Linked DNA regions of Cricetulus griseus. The protein of the gene in region 1 purifies or fractionates together with the protein of each later gene. This does not show direct contact. Links are inferred from orthologs where the notes say so. Each region holds a gene or a part of one and is shown on either strand. Other genes may lie near its edges. The genes, in order: Dapk1 and Ifi30.

Region 1 (10,748 bases):
CTGGCTGTGACAAAACCTGAGGTGCGCTCAGTAGATGTCCTGGGGCTCTTGCTGGGGCCAGAGCCTCAGAACCAGCTCCCCTGCGGCTCTCTTCAGGATCAGAGAATTCTTTTCCTACATATACGAGCTCAAATACAACCACAAACACATGTACATATAGACATACACATACACCCTCATTCCCACACACATGTAGAACTTAGCATGCACAGGTGGTGGTTACATGCATAGGCATATGACTTACAGGCATGTCTTTGCACATACAAACTTATAAATGGACACACTTAACATGCATGTACATGTTTATACTTGTGACATTTTACATGCTAATGTATGTGCAAGTACCATATTTAAAGGAACAACATGAAAATAAAATAGACTTTAGGGATGGACTGGGTGCAGGTGAGACCAGCTGGGGAGGGAGATAGGGCTAAACTAGGGAATTCAGGGAGAGACAGCTGGGATTAAGGGGTATCAGAGGGATGATATGGAAACCTAGTGCTTTGGAAATTTCCTAAAATATTTTAAGATTATCCTAATGAGGTCTCCTAATAATTGGGAAAACAGGTTCCAACTGGCCATCTCTTGTCACTAAACAAGTACCAGAATTTGGTTGCATTCAATTGTGTTGTTGGCCAGGGGGATCCCATGGAAATCCTCCAAACCCAAGCTGTTGCCAAGACAATGGGTTGCTCTCTATAAACTGAGAGTGGGCCCCATAGCTGAGGACAACATTCACACAATTCATCGAACATGGAGAAGTTGAGCTGGTACCTGCATGGGACCTTCATCCCTATGTTGTGTCTTTGGTGAGGGAAGGTGCTCTGAAGGCTACCAAAGGAGAAACAGAAATACCAATTCAGTCACATAACCTTTGACCCACATTTTTTCCTGCTTACAAAATATTCTAGGGCAATGGTGGCACAGAACTTGTGGGAGTAGCCAGTCAATGTCTGATTTGACTTAAGGGTCCACTCCATGAGATGAAAGATAACTGACACTGTTTGGGTAGCCAAGAGCCAGACTAGATAGTCCAGAGATCTAGGGTGAACACAAACACTATTATACTGTGCTATACCTATACTATAAACATAACAACATATATATATATATATATATATATATATATATATTATGCCTTATTCAGTCATCACCAGAGAAGCTTCCTCTGGCAGCCATCAGGAAATAATGCAGAGATCCACAGCCAGACATTATGTGGAGAAAAAGTCTAAATGGCATGTATTCACCAAATCCCTCCCCTCTGAGTTCAAGGAACTCCATATGGAAGAGGAGGCAGAAAGAGTGTAAGGGCCAGAGGGGATGGAGAACACCAGGAGAACAAGGCTCTCTGCATCAACCAAGCAAGGAACATATGAGTTCACAGAGACTGAAGCCAACACGGGCCAACACGGGTCTGTACCAGGTAGCTTTTAGCTTAGTATCTTTTGGGACACTAGGGCGTAAGAACTAGTGGGTCTCTGACTCTGTGTCTGCTCTTGGGACTCTTTTCCTTCTGTTGGATTGCCTTGTCCACTTCAGTAGGATGGATTTTGCTTTATCCTATTATATTTTATTTTGTCACGTTTGGTTGTTATCTCTTAGAAGTCTGTTCTCTTATAATGAGAGTGGAATTGGAGGGGAGGGGAGGAGGAATTGGGGGGGACAGAGGGAGGGGAAACTATAATCAGGATATATTAAATAAGAGTCTATTTTCAATAAAAGGAAAACATGAAAAAAAAAATGAAGAATCAATAGGAGGCATAGCCATGTAAGGTAGGATGACCTGACCTAAGCCAAATCCAAGACTGACTCAAGTGTGCCACTTGACTTCCAGACCCTGAAGAGTGTGTCAGAAATACTTCATCTCTAAGTTGACTTTACTTGTAAATTCTGTGGTTTCGATGGAACAAGATGGTCTCTCCCAAAAAAAAGATAGCTCCAGGGTTCCCACCCTGTACTCCTTCTGAGAAGGCTGTGGTTTGCCACTGAAACCCTAAGTGCCTGGCAGAGTCCCCTCACCCTGGTGTCAACACTTGAGAGTGACTAGCCTTTGGGCAGGGGAGGTCATGGCCCAAGCTGCACTGTAAGTGCTTATATGGCTTCTCTCCTGACCTCTCCACACCCACGCATGGCCTCACTCCCCACTGACTCAGAACTGGGGAACACAGGGACACCAGCAAGCAACCATTGGGGCAAATGGAGGGAAATGGCTAAGTCCTTTACTAGGGGTATTCCAGGAGTTTCCCAGGGACCCCTACTGCCTGTGAAGGTGTGGCGGTCAGTTTTATGCTACCATAACAAATACCTAACTTATACGGAGTAAAGGCTTATTCTGGGGATCCAGAAATTTGGGTTCATGATGGGTTGGCTCTAGTGCTTAGGACTTGTGCTAAGAAAGCAGATGATAACAGGCACATGTTGAGGGTACCTGTCTCTGACCCCCAATGCTGGGGTTAGCTTTTGATGAGGGTGCTAGGGATTCCCACGTGGGTCTTCATTCTTGTAGGGCAAGTTCTCTTACTCACTCAAATATCTCCCTAGCCCCTCCTCTGACTGTTTTGAGGAAGGATCTCATGTAGCTCAAGGGGCCTGGAACTCATGATGTATCCAAGGTGACCTTGAAGTTCTGATCCTCTTACCTGCACCCCTTAATTGGTTGGATTACAGGGGTGTACCCTAAACATGTGGTTAGGCACAGCCTAATGGCTCTGGTTTATCTTCCAATATTGCCACAATGGAGTCCCAAACCTTGAGGGACCTTTGGGGAACATGTCAGATGTCAACTACTGAAAAGGGTGACAATTACTCAATAACATCCTTTTCAGGGCATCTTTCAGGTTCTATCAGATTCACTGAAGACAAGGACCTACTTCTTGACTGGGGACCATGTCATCTAATTTTATAAATAAAGAAGCACCTAGACAAAGGGTAGTGCTTTCCCAGTGCTGGAGATTAGTGTAAAGATGATCTGGATTCTGGATTGGTTGATACTGTGGTGCAGAACACTGGGATTGGAACCTTTCACAAAGACGACAACTTCTGAATCAAGGACTAACCAATCAAAAGCAATACGGAACAGTTTATTTATAAAACGGAAGAAAAAAAAAACAAACTTAATTCTTTTGCAACATCTTATAGATTAAGTAAAAATACCAGTATTAATATATATGTATGTACATAGTGCATATATATATGTACAGATGATAGGGTAACATTACATGCTTCTCGGGACAGAATTAAAACACGTTCCCTCATATCGATTCAAAATGTTATCACAATCTCAATCACCCCAAGAAAACTTGTTTACTCTATTTTCTCTCTTTCAAGTACAGCAAGTGACCAAACCAGGATCTAAACGGAGAATCCATCCGCTATGCGCCGACAAGGGACTGCCACGGATTATGAGTTGGGGGGTCTTCGGGATTCTTAACGTGGGTCTCCATGACCCTACACTGTGTCAACCTTCTACCTGAGGTGGGAGGGAGTGATGAGGCATGACAGTCTGTAGGTTTCATGTACATGTTCACATGGATGTTTTGACAAAAGCAACTAAAGAAAAAATGTCTTCGTACAGCAACACTGGCCCATGAACACTCTGGGGGAGAGGGTTCCTTTTGCCTCTTTCCTTGCCAAATGAAACACAGAGCTCCCTCCCTGGAAGAAAAAAAAGAAAAAGGGGAAAAAAATACCAAAGGCAAACCAACCACTCAGAGTGCAGCACCTCTGGCGATGATCAGCACACAGCAAGGGACAGAGAGGTAGCGTTTCCGTGGTGACAGCTCCGGGCTGACTCAGATGATTTCAACACACCCTCTTCTGCAAAAGGCACTCACATATTGCCTGTTTATAAATCATACAGTGAGGTCCAAGCATGGGAGTCTCGCCTACAAATATAAAAGAGATAAGCTAAGGAGCTGGTATGGCAGAGAAAGGGTAAGAAATACACATTGTGGATAAATGTGTGTTCCTTTCCTTTTTTTTTTTTTTAAAGGATAATCAATAAGGGACTTTTTTAAAAAAAATGTTTTTTCATTGAAAAGTTTGGAATCCCAATAAAATTACCAGTAAGAAGCAAGGTATTAAGAGGACGAGAGATAGAGTCCAAAACACTGACAGAGGGGCACTAGCTTCCCAAGTGGCCAAAGCAAGGGATATGGTCTGCTCTTGACCATGGGATGGGAGAGAGGGAGCGAAATAAAGGCTGGGAAGCAATGAAGAGGATGCAGGGTGGTGTCTTCAGGAGCAGAAGGAATGAGTGGGGATCTGCACTGAAAAGGATGGGTTGTCCCCTCCCCACTGCCCTTGCATCTCAGTCCATAAAGACCCTGCCCAAGCCAAGGCTGCCCTCACCGGGATACCACTGAGCTAATGGAATTGTAGGATGTGCCACTGTTACAGCTTGAGGCGTAGGCCTCCTGGCCATTGCCATCAAGGTTGATCTTGAACACGGAGGAGGCCTTCAGTAAAAAGTCCGCAGCATCTCGGCGCCCCAGCTCCCGAAGTTTGGATATGAGGATGCCCACGGTACTCTCGGGGTAGGAGGTCCATTCCTGCAACAAGGCATGCACAGGGCTGGGGAGGACATCCCTAGGAGCCCTGGTGTTGGTGTTATGCTTGGCCACCATGTCTGGGAGGCCCAAGTTCATGGCCAGAAGGCACCAGTCCTTCCCCATGGGATCCGGTGGGTCAAGGAGGCGACTCAGTTTCCTCCGCGTCAGTAGACTCAGGTCTGACGCATGGATGTCCATGCCGAGACTGGCCTGTGAGTAGACGTCGTGACACCCAAAGCAAGTGATACTGCTGAAGCTCTCCTTGTACCCTCCCATGGTGTTGGTCAGGGAGCTCTCCTTCAGGGCCTGAGCACGGAAGAAGTCCCGGGGCTGGTAGACCATGACCGGTTCATGGTGCTCCCGCAGCTGCTGGGGGCTCAGGTAGTGCTTCACCGTCAACAGCCCAGGCAAGGTGGTAGCCATGACATTCTCGATGGTGCTGCACACCGAGTCCAGCAGCAGGCAGCACTTAATCTTCTCTGTCTCCAGCCCACGCACCTGAACCTCGATGCCCTGGCCATGGTTGACGAGTAGCACCAGCAACTCCGCCCCGCGGTTGGTGATGCGGCAGCCGCTCACCCACAGACGGATGTCTGCGTCACCCTCGGCGCTCTGCTGGTGGATCCACCGGCACAGGTTAACCTGGACTTTGTGAAAGATGCCGCAGGGGAAGGGAGTGAGGTGCTCCACCGGGACGATGCGCACCCCACCGTACACCATCAACTCATCCTCCTCGTCCGCCCAGGAGCGCTGCAGGCTATCCGTTTTGATCAGAGCCGGAACATCCACCATAGTCCCGCTACTCAGGTCCCGGGCGCAGATGTCCATGGCATCCAGTATCTGTAGCAGCTCCTCCACGTCACTGTCGGGGACCAGGCGTTGGATGTCTTCCATGGTGTAGCGGCCCCGGTAATGGTGCAGGGCGCGCGGCGTCTCCACAGACAGCAGCTTCCCCAGGACATTGGTGCAGAGCCATCGAGGGTCCAGCAGCAGTACATCCTGAACCGTCTCACTCTGCATGATGTTGATCTGCCAGAGACCACAACTCAACGTGACCAGAGGGAAAGGACACCCAGGCCAGAGGCGCTTATCACTCAGAGCTGTGTGGGGAATCCCCTCAGAGGCAAAGATCCATCTCCAAAACCAAACCCGAGCCCTGCCCTAAGCTGGCTGGAGAGTATCAGAGGAGAGTCTCTCAGAAGCAATTCCCGCGGAGGTAAAAATCAAAAGTACATAAAGACAGAGACAAAAGCAACAACAACCCACAGCAATACACAAGACAAGAAGGAAGACAAGAAAGAGAAAAGATGGGCTTCTGTGGAATCTGGGTCTAGAAAGACCCACTAATCAATAAAGGCAGCCATCAAAAGAGATTATCAGGGCAAATGGAAACTCAGCCACTGTCCTGAATCAGGGTTGTGTTTCTGGAATGTGATCTTGTGTTCTACTGAGTTTTGTGTGGGAACAACCTTGTCTTTGGGGACACTGATTTACGGTGAAATATGGTGATGTCTACAAAATAAATCTTAAAAAGGTGAAAGAAAGGAGGCAAAGGAACCATAATGGAAGGAACCTGTCAATGTCAGTTGAGAATATGTGGTTTTGTGGTAATGTCATTGGTTTGTCTGAGACAGGGCATACATATGTTTCTTATGTTTGTTCTTATGACAACCCTTCAACTGAAAGAGGAGTCAAGAATGACACTAGTTATTGACCAGTGTGTCTATTTCTTTAAAAGCCCAAAAGCTGGAGAGAAAAATGTGAGAAGAAAATAAAACCAAGCCAGAAATCACTTTTTCCTTTTGGGCCCTTTAAGGATAAGTCTATGAATAGCAGTTATTCCAGGTGGTTTTCATTGGAGAGGCCTCTAGCTCCACCTGCTGGCCATGGGACCCCTCTGCCCTAGTGTAGCTTGGGCTCTCTCTGCCTTCATCGTTTCAGCAGGACATTGAGAAGACCCCCAGACGGTTACCATTTCATACTATTATTTCCTTAGGGTTGAGAAAAGCAAAGCTTGACCATGGAGGAGGAAGCTAAGGCGCTAATGGCTCATAACCACTTAAGAAGACTACAGCTGCACAGAACCAGCCCACGTCCCTGAGTTTTCTTTTCCTTCCCCTCTTTCTCCCCGTCTTCATTTCCTAAAGTCTCAAGCTCAAAAGGAGAGGGGATGTGATATGAAAACTAAGGGGATCCTACATCATGACTTAGAAAGTTTCTGGTCAAATAGTAGGAGGTAAGAGAATCCTGTCAAAGGAGAAAGTTCCTTTTTATGGGAAAAAAAACGCCTTTTATATCTAAATATCTTTGCCTTTGCCCTGTTCCTGTCTTCTTCCTTGCATTCGGTCACTTTATAGTACGGCTAGTCAGCCAGCCAATCAGCCATCAGTTTACTGGGAGTTCAAAGGCTGACATTACCATTGAGGTCCTTCTGGGCCACTAGCTCTAGATTCAGTATTAGTTTCACAAGTACGCAACTCAGACAAATGCAAGTCTTGATGTGGCACAAAAACCAATAAACCCAGCTCTGTTTTCAATATTCTCAGATGCTTCTAATTGTCAATAATCACCACTGTTGCTCTTGGCCCAGCCTAGCCCATGTGGCCACTCAGTTTCATAGGAGGGAGGAGGTAAAGGCTATGCCATGCTCTGGGGACAGGCATACAGGATGCGGTTAGAACGGTTCCCATACTGGGTTAAGTGACACAATCAAGAGTGATTTCTGTCCTTTCTGGTGGGTGTTGCTTGCTAAGGGGGTCTTTAAGTGTGGTCCTGACTTGGGGACACTGCACACTAGAGTGTCTTCTTGTCCACAGACAGTGTCTGTGAGGACACCCCATGGGCTTTACTCAGTATTTGTCAACCCAGGACTATTTCCAGAGCCAGAGCTTCTCAATTCCTTCAGCGCAGCCAGCCTATGGCTGCCAGGAAGAACAGGGAAATAAGCCATGGGTGCCTCAGGGGGCAATGGAGACCCAGCTACTCGGGGTGAGAGTGACTAACTAATGGGGTCTACAAGACAACAAAAACCAAAGACAACAGACCAGCTGTTGATAGTGAATGGTTGCTTCCACCGGATATGACCTTTGCACACACCTGGCTTCTAATAATATAACCACTGTCCTGAGACTCTTCCCTGAAGTACTAGCTCACATATCACACGCCTAACAACACACCTAGCTGCCTGTTAACATCCTAGGACCCCAATCTCCATGAAGCTATGTGTGCGCGCACACACACACACACACACAACAATGGAATACCTTTCTCCTTTTAGCAACCATCAAACAGATTTTATTCAGTTTTAGTCATGTCAATGAATAATAGCAGGAGAGCTACATCCAGCCTGAACTGGTCTTGGTGCAGGTGCAATAAGGGAAATAAATATGCCCCATAAATAAACTTTCAGGAAAAAAAAAAAAACCCTTGTTTATCATGTTACGATAATGCATCATGGGAAAGGACATTCATGATGGGGGAAATACTTCTGTGTATGTTTATAAATAAAGTACTTGCTTGGCCAATGAGACAGCAGGTTAGGCTGGACTAGGAGTCAAAGAGGATTCTGGGAAATGTAGTAGAGAAGTGGTGTTGCAGACAGGAAGTGACATAGCAAAGAGACTCATATTTAAGAAGAGGAAAAAGGAAGTGTCGCTCTGTTTCCCCTCGGCTCCTGCTCCAGCGGCACGATGTGATTCACCGGCAAGGAGGGACGCCAATAAGGTGCCCGATAAGATAAGTCCCATAAAATATATAGATGTATGGTAATTGAGACTGAGCTAACAGATGAGAATCCTAATCATTGGCCAAGCAGCTTTGTAACTAATACAAGTCTCTCTGTGTATTCATTTGGGCCTAACTCGGGCGGGCAGCTGGTGTAAAGCTTGCACGTGGCGGTGGGGCTCAGGCGGCTTTTGGCAAAAAGATTTATCATAACACATTCACATCAAGCAAAAGCTTATATAGCCTAAACCTGTCAATTAAAATAGAGAACCTCTCAAACTTTGCCCCTCATAACCAAACTTACCCTCTTTTAGGCCTCATAAAGAAGTCCCAGGCTCTTGAACAGCCTCACCTATGTGACTTGCTGTCACTCTGGTTGGTGTCTTTCTTTCTGATCTGCACTTTTGCTTTGCTTTGCAAAAAGTATTCTTGCAGTTTGTGCAAACCAGGAGAAGCCTTCAGTTCAACTCATAAGAGGCTCAAAACCCAGAAACAACCAGGCCCAGACTCCAACCCCTGGTAACAGTAAGGTGAAGGAGAAGCAGAGAGCAGAAATTCTGTGTGACTTCGTGGGGCGAAGAGAGCCTCGTGTGATGAGATGTTATAGGTAGCAGGGTCACTTCTCCTCTACCAGCTGGAGCTCACCCACCCTCAGCTCTCACCTCGCCTGTGCTGTGCAGCTGCTGTGCAATGCGTCTGAGGTCATCCTCAGAGGCCAGGGGGTTCAGCTGGTCCTGAACATCATACACAAACTGCTGCAGCGACATCAGCTGGTTTGGCCCGTTGAGCTTCCGCCAGGAGGGCAGTGTCGAGATGATCTTTTCACACAGGTGAGTCATGGGAGGGCAGCCCTAGACAGGCAGGTGGGACAGGTTAGACCCTACAGGACTATGAAGTGCTAGGAGCCAAGAGAGACATCATTTATCCAAGCTGCACATACCCAGAGGAAGAGATCCGCACTTACCCGGCTCAGTAACAGGGTCCATTACTAACCTAGTGCGGCCTTTAGGCTTAATCTAATCAAACATGAGGGGTTTGACAGCAGCTGTATGTGTAAGAGATGGTAAGTCCTTACAATCATATTTTAGGAACTATGGACTCAGCCACTGTTCACCAGCACCTAAGGCTTCACTCAGATCTGCCTCTGCCTCCAGCTTCTAGCTCTACCCCCTTCCTCGCTCGCTAGTTAGGTAGCCGTCTACCTAACGTCAGAAACATAAGGTTATACACAGAGTGCAAACAGAAAAATGAGGATCTTACCAGCTTCAGAGTGGATTCACAGGGTCTGTTGATGGAATATCACTAGACCAATAGTTTTTTTCCTTCCTCCCTCCCTTTCTTGATAGGTGGGTGTGTATTTGTGTGTACACAATGCATGTGCACAAGTGTGTGCCTACACACAGAAGTCAAAGGTCCATGCCTACCATTGGGTGCCATTTTGTTATGGGCATTCTTGCCCCCAGCTGGTCCCAGAACCTCATCAGCCCCAGATGAACACACAAGACTTATATTAATTATAATACTGTTGGCCGTTGGCTTGGCCTTCTTATTGGCTAGCTCTATCTTAATTATTAACCCATTTCTATTAATCTAAGTATTTTCCATGTGGTCTTCGCTTACCAGAAAGTGGTTTGGGGACCTGTTACTACTCCTCTGGCATCCTACATCTTGACTGACTCTGTCTACATTTCCCAGAATCCTCCTTGTCTCCTAGACCCACCTATTATCCTGTGTCATTGGCCACAGTGCTTTATTCATCAACCAATAAGAGGGAGATATGTACAGAAGACAACCCCATCAGCTCTCCACCTTAGTTTTGACACAGGCTCCCTCACCACACCTGGGGCTCACTGCCTGACCAGCAAGCTTCTTAGACCCTCCTGTCTCTACCCTGCCCCACCACCCCACCCCCACCACTGGGGCTACACTGTGCCCCTACATGCTTAGCTTTTATGAGAGTGCTAGGGATCCAAACTCAGGCCTTCGTGTTGGTGCATGGAGCACTTACAGACTCAACTATCTCTTCGGTTAGGCTTCCTTGTTTGCTAGTGAATGTCTGTGGACACTGATCTCTTGGGACACCCTCTAAGCTGCTTTATCTGTTTTAATTATAAGACCTGTGAAGCATGTTTTCTCCTTCCATTTCCACTTCAAGACAAAAATCCCAATGCCCTCCATCCCATTCAGATTCAGGGTAGAGCTGTATTACATAGGGAAAAAACGCAATGCTCCTTCATATTTTACCTGCAATGTGAACACAGTCTTATCTAATATCTTCTCGTCTGTTAGCACACATCCTTCAGTTAATTTTGCTAGTGTCTATTTTTCTTTTCTGAATCTGTTACACATGCTAAAATAAAGCTGATTAGAATTGCTGGTGTAATTTATAAGAAGAAATGTTATGTTTAAAGAAGCCAGGAAACACTATAAGAACTCAATACACTCTGAAATGGTTCACTCTGGCTCATAACAATC
Region 2 (11,732 bases), on another chromosome or scaffold:
ACTCAGGGATCCACCTGCCTCTGTTGGGATTAAAGGCCTGCGCCGCCACCACCCAGCAATTTGTTCTTTTCTTCCTTCATCCTTCCTTTCTTTTTTTTTTCCTTTTTAGATTCTTGTTTTCTTAACAGTCCTGTGACTCCCCACTTCTGGCACAGGCTGTGGCACAGGACATTTGGGCAGTACCCAGTTTGTATTTGTTAAATGAATGAGTGATTTTGCTGTGACCCATCTGGGCACAAAGGCCACCCAGCCCCCTTTTCCTGATCCACTGTCTCTGGACCTCAAAGGGGCTGCCTGACCAACCTCCAAACACACTTCCCTTCAGAACGGCTGCTGTGCAGTCTCTCCTGACCACCATCTCTTCTTTCCCCAGGACACAGCAGGGCAAGAGCGCTACCGCACCATCACCACCGCCTATTACCGGGGTGCCATGGGCTTCATCTTAATGTATGACATCACCAACGAGGAGTCCTTCAACGCTGTGCAGGACTGGTGAGCCTCACACCCACTCAGAACGGTGGGACTGGAGGCAGCTGGAGCAGTGGCTCAGCTACCTGCCTGGCTTGGGTAGCCTCGAGTTCTGTCCCCAGCATGTCCAGAAGACAAAGAACAGAGTTGGTTGGGACAAACTACATGGGCTGTTTCTAAGGCTTGGGGTTGTGGAAGGAACACAGCTTGACCAATAAGCTAGACAAAGGCTCCCACTGATCTGTTGCATTTAAATGATCTGTCCTCCCAGGAAATGGGAGGTCAGGTCTGTAGTCCCAGCTACTTGGGAAGCAGAGGCACTTGTCCCTGACTGAGCAGTTGCCTAGCATGTGTGAGAACCTAGATTCCACCCACAGCATCATAAACCAGCTCTGTCACGTCTCTGCATTTAGCATAGTAGATAGAGCATCAGATGTCATCCCAGCATTGGGGAAGCTGAGGCAGGGTAGAGAGGTCCAGGACAACCTGAGCTCATGAGGAAAGCACATCAGTTACTAAGGGGCAGGGGACTTAGTGTCAGGGCTGGATCCTCCAACTTCCTCCTCAGCCTCTGGCTGCCTCCTGCAGGTCGACTCAGATTAAAACTTACTCGTGGGACAATGCCCAGGTGCTGCTGGTGGGGAACAAGTGTGACATGGAGGACGAGCGAGTGGTGTCGTCGGAGCGTGGCCGGCAGCTTGCTGACCACCTGGGTGAGTGTCCGCAGGACTGCAGCCCTCCTCAGACGGGACCAGGGGCCATGACCTTCAATACCCAGAAACCCCACACATCAGGGCACGAGCGTGAATGCAGAGGGTTCATACTTGTAAAGACCAGACACTCTCCAGGAAGCTTCAGCAGTGGGTCTTGGTCACAGAGTTTGCTAGCTCAGTCATGGACTGGCTTCCAGAAGCTGCTGGGCCTGACAACAATCTAAGTTTTCAGACTGGAAAGAGAAACCTGCGTAGAGGAGTGCATGCTGGGAGCCCAGCCATGCTTCCTGGAGCAGGCAAAACTTGCTGGGGTGGGAAGGGTGGTACAAAGTTCTCAAGGTACAGACCAAGGGACAGCCAAACCTATGCAGTTGTGACCGTGGAGTGTGACTGCCCCCTAGAGGAAATGTGTCTCACTGTGTTCTGAGATACCAAGAGATAGGGCCATGGATGTTGAAGCCAAGACAGGTCTGAGTGTGGAGGCTTCTGGACTGGGACTGTATGGGGCCTGGTTGGGTGTTCATGGGAGACTCACCCTCATATGGCCTCCCTGGGATCCCTCCATTCCCCAACACAGGGTTTGAGTTTTTTGAGGCCAGCGCCAAGGACAACATTAATGTCAAGCAGACCTTTGAACGCCTGGTGGATGTGATCTGTGAGAAGATGTCGGAGTCGCTGGATACCGCTGACCCTGCGGTCACAGGCGCCAAGCAGGGCCCACAGCTCACCGACCAACAGGCACCTCCTCACCAGGATTGTGCCTGCTGAGCCACACCCCCACCAGGGGCAAGCCCCCATCCCATCACCCTATTTATTATTGTAGCTATTTATTTATTTATTTATTTATTTATTTATTGAGGACTTCCCTGGACACACCCCATCCCACCCTGTACATAACCCTACCCCTGCTCAGCTGTGGTGTGTTGTGCTCACTGCTTAAGACCTCTCCCTTTTAGTTTTGAAAACCACCCCATCCAGCTGTCGTTGTAAAGAGGGGACCAGATATCACTTGGAAGCAGGCTGGCAGGCTGATGGGAGGTGGCAAGTCCTGCCAGGGCCAAGGCTGGTGGATTGTCATGTGGGCCACTGGGTTGATACAGGCTGGCATCTTGCTTGCCTGGACCTTCTACCCCATGGGATGGGGGATATAGTCACTTTCACTACTTTGGGATATCCCCAAACCTGTTTTGACGTCATGAGTGTCAAACGTGACCCCCCACTTCCTAGAAGTTATGAACACTACACAGTTCAATAAAGCGAATGGACCTTGCTGCGTCTCTGCTGGCCCCGCCCCTACACCGTCAGCCAGCCTTGTGATTAAAGAAAATTTAATGAAATTTCCACATGGCTGCCCAACTTCGAATGAAGTTTTTTGAAGCCAAACCAGACCCCATTCAAAGGCCACGGGGCATGTCCTTGCCTCTGTCACCTGGGATCCAGGGGACCTCGGGTACTGTTTGGCCCAGAGTTGAAACTGCAGATTGACAGAGGACTTCTTGGTCCGACTGAAAAACCTGGCGACAGCTGGTGCTGGGGCTGTTTCACATGGGCAAACTGTCTCCATGGCAGACTCCGAAGGGATAGCTGGTCCAGACTTAGTCAGCCTGGGTTTTGGATGTGGCTCAGAGCTCTGACCTGTTCCAGAACCTCCTATGGGAGTGTGTCCATTGGCCTACTCCTCCGCAGCATTCAAGTTCAGTCCACGCAGCCCGGAGTTGGAAGGGGTTCAGGGGCCTGTGTACAGCAGAGGACAGGTCACACCAGACACAGGGCCAGCCCGCACCATGGAGCCCCTCTCTCCCAGGGGTTGAGCTCACCCAGTACTTCAGGTAGGACAGATACGTGTCCCAGCCCAGTGTCAGCCCGTTGATATAAGTGACTCGGAAATGGGAAGGGATGAAGAGGAAGTTCACCAGCTGAGCGGCTGGCCAAACGCACCAGTCAGCCTGCAGGAAGGCAGGCAGGGCCACCTTAAGAGGGCAGGTGGTTATGAGGGGGCAGGGCTAGGAGGGTGGGTGGGGCCAAAGTGTTGAAGGGGGGTCTGGGAGGTTGAGTAGGGGTGGAGCCACGTTTAGAAGGCCAGCCTGGTCACGCCCACCTTGTAGAAGTCCCAGAATTTGGCCCGCAGCTCCTGGCAGCTCTCCTCCAGCGTCTGGCCTTCCAGGCTGCCAAGGCCTGGGAAGAAGAACATAAAGGCTGAGGTGGTTGCGAGGCAATAAAATTGGCAGGGCTGTGTGTGGGGAGTGGGCTGTATGGGTCAGTAAAGTGACCCAGGAGGAGCACCAGGGAGGGTCAGGGGCAATGACCGGAGTTACTTGAGCAGGTCATCCCAGGACACCAGGGATCATCATCTCATCCATCAATGCAGTCCTCACCGCACCCTCAGGGTTCATTTTCCTGCAGGCTCAACTGACTGCAGCTTTGCACCCTTGCCACTCTGCCTCTCCCCAGCCCTCTTGCTTCCCCGAGTCTATATATAAAAATGCAATATGGTTGTGAACTTAGCCTCGAGAAGCCGAGGCGGGGTTGTCGAGTCTGAGGCCAGCCAGAGCTACAAAGTGAGACCATCCCTGTGTAACAGGTCCCTCTAATTGTCAACGCCACCCAGCCTACAATCGCAGATGAGAATCTCCAGTGTCTACCCATCGCGAGCTCTGAAGGCCACAGTCCCCACCGCTTCCTACCCAGGAAGTACCAGACGCCCAGGATGGGCGAGGCCACCATCTGATCCACCAGAACCTTCTTGATCACGCTCGGAAGGCTTCGGAGGCCCGAGGCAGGGAGGAGGCGGTCCAACCACAGGTACCAGAAGTGCAGGAAGGGGCCCATGCTGCAGCCCACCGCAAACATGCAGGCTGCGGGCGAGAATCAGGGTGCACCCTGCTGGCTGCGGGCCAGGACCCCTGGGGACTCGGCGTGTCCTCCCGGTGGCCGGCGGGTCGCCACGCCCGGTCCTCCCGGCCCCGCTCACCTGAGCGCCGCGCGCTGAAGCTCTGTCCCGGTCGCGCGCGCACCTCCCAGGCCTGACGCGCGCCGTCGCCCGCAGCCATGAGCGTGCCGCAGCCCAGGGTGTTGGTGACGAGCAGCGCGCGGCCCCGGAACAGCGGTCGCCCCGCAGCCAGCGCCTTCCGAGCCCAGCGCCAGCCGCCCGAAGCCATCGCCGCCCGCGCGCACGCCCGAGCCTCCGCCGCTCTCGCCCCGGCCCCGCCCCCCGCGCCCGCCAATCACTCGCCTCGGCGCCGACCACTAATATGCTGCGCTGCAGAACCGCCCCTCTCCACACGCACCAATCAGAAACCCCCAAATCCCGCCTCTCGGAGGCAACAGCCAATCGCCTACCACTCCATCACGGAAACGCGGAAGTCCGCCTAGGCTTTACCAGTTCTCAGCGGACCGATAGACAAGCGGACCTGCACTGGCCAATGGCAGAGCGGGGTCTCGCTAGCTACCCGCAGCGTCCCGCCCCCTGAGCCGAATTGACCAATCGTGGGTCTTGTGTGTCCCGCTGCGCAGGGGCGGGGCCGGACGGAAGTCTCTCGCTTCTTATCCACAAAGCCTCCGGGAGTGGGCGGGGCGAGGGGGTGTGCGCAGGGCTGCGGAGCTCGCCCTTGGCGTGACCTCTCCCGTGCGCCCGCACTGTGGTCTGAAGACGCCGGTGCAGCACGCGGGCGCCGGGCGTCACGTAGCCCGGGACGGCCCTGAGCTCGTGTCCCACCGCCGTGCCGGGGCTGTGGACTGATGAGCAGTCATGAGTTCCTGTGTCCTTACCGCCTTCATTGCCCCTCCGCTTGTCACTGTGACCACCACCGTGCAGTTTTCGGGTGCTCAGCCTGGGCTTCTAGCTCCCGGACGCTGGCCCCTTCCCCTGCTCCATCCTCCCAGCCTCACCCCCTACCCACCGGGTCCATCCGGGCTCCGTGGAAGGAAGGACAGGTTTGGCTCTGCGTTCCCGGGTAGGGGATTGCCAGCATCCAAGGACCGTGTCACTTCAATTCCGCCACCCACACAGGATCTACAGTCACGGTCTAGAGCAGCGGTTCTCTGCCTTCCGACCCTGTAATACAGTCCTTCCTGTTGAGGTGACTCCCAACCATAAACTTATTTCATTGATACTTCTTAACTGATTTTACTACTGTTATGATAGTAATGTGTCTCTCATATTTGAGTCTAAGGGGTCATGACCCAGTGTGAGAACCACTGGGCTGTAACTGGTAATTAATGTGGGTGGCATGACCCCCTGCGCTGGTGTTCTGGAAGAACTAGAAAGGAAAGTGGGCAGAGCCCCAGCATCCACAGACCTGTTTCCTGACTGTGGGTGCTGCCTGGCCCCAACTTTGCCCCAGGATGGACTACACAGGATGACCCAGCACAGTCCCTTCCTTAAGTGGCTTTTGTATTTTGTCACATGACAAATGAAAAAGTAACTCGCATTTGGGGGCTTTTCAGATGAGGCATGAACTCCAGGGTCCCCGGGGCACAGCTCAGGGACAGACTGTGTGCTGAGCACCAGTGGAGTCCAGGGTTATACACCCACATTCAAAACATAAACATGCCGGTAGGTGGTGGCACGCCTTTGATCCCAATGCCTGGAAAGCAAGGACAGGCAGATTTCTGTGAGTTCGAGGCCAGCCTGGTCTGCTGATTGAGTTCCAGCTTGAAAAACCAGCAAAACAAACGAAAAATACAAAGTGGTGGCGGCGGCGGCGGCTGCACACACCTTTAATCCCAGCACTCGGGAGGCAGAGGCAGGAGGACCTCTGTGAGTTCGAGACCAGCCTGGTTTACAGAGCGAGTGCCAGGACAACTAGAGCTGTTACACAAATAAACCCTGTTTCAACAAACAAAAAACCCACAACCCAAACCAAAAACCAACCAGCCAAACAAACGAAACCTCACAAACTAAAACTCCAGGAAAAATGAATCACAGCAACTTATTTATTCAAACAATTTAAATTTAGCACCATTTGAAAGCAAGGCAAGATTCTTGAACACGTAGAGGAGTATTTTTTTTGTTTTTGTTTTCAAAACAGGGTTTCTCTGTGTAGCTTTGGAGGATGTCCTGGAACTCGCTCTTATACACCAGGCTGGTCTGGAACTCACAGAGATGCGCCTGCCTCTGCCTCCCAAGTGCTGGGATTAAAGGTATGAGCCACCACCGACCGGCATGTGGAGGAGTTTCGAGTATGTTTTGTGGGATGTGTACAAGTTTGCTTGTTGATGGGCGGTATCTCTTTAGGGCTCCGGATTTGAAAAGGCTGAGCACCTGGGCTCTTGTTTTTCTTGTGACAGTGACCTTCACTTATAGCAAACCTTCCTGGGGGGGTCTGCCATGGAGGAACAGATGTCTGGTTTCTCCACTCCCTGGAGGGGGTGAAAGGCTTGGAAGTTGGTACCCTTCTGGGAGACTCCACTCCCCCCAACCTCCAACCCCCGTTGGTGCCCAGCTCACCTGGTACAGCTGACAGACAGTGCTCAGGAGCTGGCTGGGGTCCTTCAGAGGTTTCTGCAAGCCACAAAAGACATAGTTAAACACAGGTGGGAAGACCCATGAGCTTGGGAGTACAGTACTGGAGTGCTGAGGCAGGAGGACCACTGATAGTTCCAGGGCAATCTCAGCTGATTTGTCACTGCAGTGTTAGGGCATAAAAACTTGTGTGAGCAGAGGCCAGAGCTCAATGTTCAATATGGGTGTCGTTTTTTAATTTTTTTGTCTTATTTTTTCTTTTTTGGTTTTTGTAGTCTTTTTTTTTCTAATTAAATTATCTTAAGCTGGGTGGTGGCGCACGCCTTTAACTCGGGAGGCAGAGGCAGGTGGATCTCTGTGAACTGGAGGCCAGTCTCATCTAGAGATAGTTCCAGGACAGCTAGGGCTGTTACACAGAGAAAACAACAACAAAACTATTGTTTTTAGGGTTATTTGTCTTATTTCATGTGTAGAGGTGTTTTGCCCCCACGTCTGGGCACCATGTTTGTGCAGTACCAACGGAGGCCAGAAGAGGGCGCTGGATCTCCCTGGGACTGGAGGTACAGATATGAGCCACTGTGTGGTGCCTATGGTAATAAACCAGGGTCCTCTGCAAGAGCAGCGGCACTCTGAACCCCTGAGCTGGCTCTCCAAGCCCCTCATGTGGCGTCTTCCAGTCACGATTACATGCACAGGCCACCACAGTCAACTTTTTCACACCGGCATGGGGATTCGAACTCAGAGCCTTGAGCTCGTAGGACACTTTACTAACTGCACAATGGAGGTCCTTACCTCATTGACCAGGACCCAGGGCACATACTCATGGGGCGGCTGCAGGGCCTCGGTGAGCTGGGCGTTGGCGTGCATGAGCTGCGTGCCACGCTCCCCCGTGGCACACTCCATGATGCTGTCTGGGGACACCTCTGGAGCATATACCTGCAGGCACTGGGGGGGAGGGGGATGTGCGGCTTTGTTCAGTTCCCCTTGTTATCTCGCCAACAGTCCGAAGGGCCCTGGACAAGCCATTTCCTCATCGCCCAGAGCGGGTTGATGGGTGGGGCTTCTGATGCTGAGGCCCAGGGTGCGCGTGCCTCGCTGGTATCTCATTACCTCGGAGCCTTCCTACTCCTTCCCAGGGTCTCACCCTCCAGGAGGATGGGGTGGAGTTATTTCCCACAATACCCTGGGAAGTAAGAGCCCCTGGCTTGTCTCCTGTCATACTGTCTGTCCCATGTCTGCTCACAGTCCTAAGGTTTCCAAGCGAGAGGTGGGAGCCCCAGGAGGGCAGTCACCTCCCTGCCTCCCCCCAGCCCCGTGGCTGGCCTCCCAGCCCTGCAGCTCACCGGCCCTAGTTTCTTCTCCATGTCCTGCATCTCTTCCACACAGACGATGGTCAGCAAGGCCGCCTCCTTTTCCAGCTTATCCAGCAGACAGGCCTTGCAGAGAGAGACGGCAGCGGTGGGCACACTGCAGTACTCAGTGTCCGGACCCCCCTCCCCGCTCCCTCCACCGCACTGAGCTGCAGCTCACCTCCACCTTGTTCAGCCTGCACTCCAGCTCCCCATGCTGACACGTGAACTCCCAGGTGCCACTGACATTTCTTTCCTGCAAGGCGCCGAAGGATGAGCGTCCCTGTCCCCGTCCCCCCACGCCCCTTCTGCCTCGGTTTCCCCGTTTCCTGCGCACCTGCGCGTTCCCGTAGGGTACCAGCGTGACGTTGATAATTTCCATAACCATCAACCAGGTCGGGAACAGATCTCGGACCAGGAAGTATCGACAAGCTCCGCAAAGGGATTCATAATAGAGGCTGACATTGACCGGCGGTGCAGGGGGCAACGGGCGCGGCCCGAGCAGGCACAGATCGTGGGCCTGGAGGGAGAGAGGCGTCCGGTGAGGTGCAGACCCCGGGCCCCGGCGCCCCCCGCCGAGACGCTCATGGTGGCTCAGTCTAGGGCCAGTGGGGACCAGACAGCGTGCGGTCTCCCGCTGGGCCACGCCCAGGGCCCCCAGAGGCTTGCTGGAGTCTACCTCGCATTCCGCAATCACAGTTTATCTGCAAAACGGAAACTGGCTGGCTTGCAAACAGTAGGTCCTCAGCAAGTGCACAATCCTGGCTAGTTCAGTAAGCGCTAAAACATGCATATTTCTAGCTGTACACGGTGGCTCATGACTCACAGCACCAGGGAGGCAGACGCAGGAGTTTGAGGCCAGCCTGGTTTTACAGAATGAGTTCCAGGACAGCCAGGGCTACACTGTGAAACCCTGGCTCGCCAAAAAACAAAATCAAAACAACCACAAAATAAGAATAAGAAAGTAAATGAAAAATAAGACATGCATAATTGTAGTTACTGTTCTCAGCCCTGTTTGGCAACGCACACCCTGAAGTCAAATGCATGCTCATTTTTTTTTTCTTTTTGTAATTTTGCGCACCAGAGCTGAAACGAGGCCTTTCACCCATGGAAACTACTCTTCCTCTCCAGTGACCCAGGGAAACTTCACCCTGTTCGAGGCCCGACTAGACACAGGAGGTGCCTAGTGCGTGCAGACTTCCGGTTCCGGGGAGGTCGGGAGGCGAGCCGGAGTTTGATCAAGGTGCTCGGCGTGCGGGGCATGTGTTTGCTCCGTGTCAGGAGCACGCCAGCCCTCCCGTCCTCGGCTGGAACGCACATAGTAAGCAGCAAGAATTGCGTGAGGGTGGAGACGGGCCAGTGGCTCAACAGGTCTGGAGCAGAAACCGCCCCCTCCCGCCTACCCTCAACTCTTGGCTCAGATGTATACTGTAGGTGGTTAATAAATGCTCAGGCGAGGTGGAAGGGGATAGCTGTGTGTCTCAGACCTGCGATGGGGAAGCGAAAAGGCTTGGCCGCGGCCAGTCCCCAGATGGGGGTTGGGGAATGTCCCTGGCTGACAGCGTTCCTTGGGGTTCCCCGGGTGAGTTTGCCGAGTGCGGAGAAGTCGCCTGACCCTCCGTCCCCTCCCGCACGTCGCGGTCCCTACCTTGCAGGTGGCCGCAGCCTCGGAGGACGCTTGCAGCGGAGACACTCTGGCTGCTCTGGGGGCCTCGGGTAGAAGCAGCAGCAGAAGGGGCAGCAATGGCAGGAACAGAGACCGGGGCATGGCCGCGGAGGAAAAGGTAGGCACGACTGCTGGCTGGGCCTTGGAGGTGGGAGACTTTAAGCAGGCGGAGGCCCCGCCCCCTGAGACCACGCCCCTCCCGGGCTCCTACCCCAGGGCCTCCTTTCCAGCAGGCTCTACCCCAGCCAGGTGTTGCACCCCAAATCACGAGGCCACAGGGCCCTCCCTCCAGTGTTCCCTCCTCCTGGGGCCAGCATGTCCTGTCACACCACATGAGGCTTTTGGATCAGGGATGGGGCGGGGGGGGGGGGGCGGGGGTCTCCAGACACGGACCGGCTGAGGGACAGGAGGCAGAGTACTTGCCTTCTTCCCTCTACCTTAGCAGAGATGGGGGAGTGACACCCTTGTCATTAATTCCTGCCCCGCCACCCCAGGCCGGGCCAAATCAGCCCCAGCACATCCCCCCACCTCCGCTGATTCAGGCTGGACCCAGGACAGAAGCCAGCTCAGGCAGGCCAACTTCCCTAAGGTCCCGGGCCCTGACTTGGGGTGGGGGATGCAGCTGGGGGGACTTCCTTCAGGCAAGACCCCTGGCACTGCAGAGCCTCGCGGGGAGGGTGGGCGGGCTATGCCTGGACTCTGCCTCTTTCCACCAGATTCTGTAAATGGGCCACCAGAAGGGCTCACAGGTAACCTAGGTTGGGACCGGAGCCTCTGCACCAAGTCAAGATGAAATCTGGACGCCAGAGACCTTGGGGCAGTGACAGGCCACAGAACAGCAGCGGCAGCAGGAAATGTTCCAGCCTGGCTGGTAACTGAAGCCCCAGGCTGAAGCCGGAGACTCAGGACAGGGTCCGGTCCAGTTCTGGGGAGACCCTGGTTTTCTGTGAGGAAGGAGGCAGCAGACTGCTGAGGTAATGGCGACTCCCTGAATTCCACAGCTGATGAGCAGCCACAGGCTCTAACCAAGACTGGGCCTTCTTGAACCTCAGTGTGAGCAGGGGCAGCCCCTCACCGGGGCTCTCTAGAGAAGGGCTCTGCAGAAGCGCGTGGGGGGGGGGGGAATCTCTGGGACTGTGAGGCAAACACCCATATGGGACTGGGTCCCAGGCGGGCTGTCCGTTCACTTGTCCTCGCTGAGACCAAAGGTGCTTCTGGACAATCGGACACAGGCTGGGGCAGAGTACTCCGGAGCGTTAAGTCTTGATGTGTACCCACCCCAGGGCAGAGCTATTAGGGCTTTGTTTTCGCTAATGAGCACAGGCAGGCCCTTAGGGACTTGCTCAACAGGTGTGCAGGCTCGACATGGCCTCACCTCATCACTCAGGGAGACCGGGGACATGAGACACCCTCTTGGATGGCCTGAAAGGTTGTTGACACCTCTCTTCCCGACAGGGAAGTGGATCGTGTGGGCGTGCTTAGGCGCAGCGGGCACCTGCTTGAGCAGAGTCAAACTTGTGGGTGACCCAGCAGTCTGGAGCAGTGGCACTCGGATCTGGGGTCCCGAGTATGGGGCAGAGACTGACTTACAGCACTGTGCTCTGTGATCCTGGATGAGGTCTTAACCTCTCTGGTGCTGAGGGAGAAAAGGACGCGTGGTAATGAAAATGATAGGTGCCTATAGTGTGACCCCAGGCAGGCCACAGTCTGTGGCTCACGAGGGCCAAGAATCCCAGTCCCCGGGCTGGAGAGACGGCTCAGAACTAAGAGCACTGACTGCTCTTCCAGAGGTCCTGAGTTCAATTCCCAGCAACCACATGATGGCTCACAGCTCTCCGTTATGAGATCTGGTGCCCTCTTCTGGTGTGCAAGCATACATGTAAGCAGAACACTGTATACATAATAAATAAAATCTTAAAAAAAAAAAAAAAGAATCCCAGTCCCCAAAGACACTCAGCCAACAGGTACAATGTTTCATATTCGCAATAAATGTACCGTACAAAACCCGCTGCCCGTCAGTACTGGGCAGGTGTGGGGTCCAAGGGCAGTGACACCAGGGTCCTTGTCCCAAA

What was found.
Region 2: the proteins of Dapk1 (region 1) and Ifi30 purify together in Homo sapiens (affinity purification with mass spectrometry; 3 studies listed by BioGRID and IntAct, counting the BioPlex papers as one, with this or other methods). This does not show direct contact. The link is inferred for Cricetulus griseus from reciprocal best matches to the Homo sapiens genes DAPK1 and IFI30.

Annotation. Positions count from the first base shown.
Region 1 is NC_048596.1:279,915,219-279,925,966, reverse strand, and holds the end of Dapk1 (death-associated protein kinase 1), read right to left. Parts: intron 9,125-10,748; coding exon 8,936-9,124; exon of another isoform or gene 8,698-8,935; intron 8,274-8,697; exon of another isoform or gene 8,209-8,273; intron 5,580-8,208; coding exon 4,351-5,579; intron 3,885-4,350; coding exon 3,845-3,884; 3' UTR 3,164-3,844; downstream 1-3,163. UniProt on the Homo sapiens protein: Calcium/calmodulin-dependent serine/threonine kinase involved in multiple cellular signaling pathways that trigger cell survival, apoptosis, and autophagy.
Region 2 is NW_023276806.1:248,241,614-248,253,345, reverse strand, and holds Ifi30 (gamma-interferon-inducible lysosomal thiol reductase), read right to left. Parts: upstream 9,995-11,732; coding exon 9,929-9,994; intron 9,868-9,928; coding exon 9,643-9,867; intron 8,515-9,642; coding exon 8,332-8,514; intron 8,251-8,331; coding exon 8,176-8,250; intron 8,082-8,175; coding exon 7,989-8,081; intron 7,591-7,988; coding exon 7,438-7,590; intron 6,685-7,437; coding exon 6,631-6,684; intron 6,543-6,630; coding exon 6,477-6,542; 3' UTR 6,088-6,476; downstream 1-6,087. Other genes in the region: Rab3a (ras-related protein Rab-3A), read left to right, coding at 374-492, 1,057-1,181, 1,759-1,949; Mpv17l2 (mpv17-like protein 2), read right to left, coding at 2,877-2,915, 2,999-3,127, 3,280-3,356, 3,866-4,036, 4,153-4,339. UniProt on the Homo sapiens protein: Lysosomal thiol reductase that can reduce protein disulfide bonds. May facilitate the complete unfolding of proteins destined for lysosomal degradation. Plays an important role in antigen processing.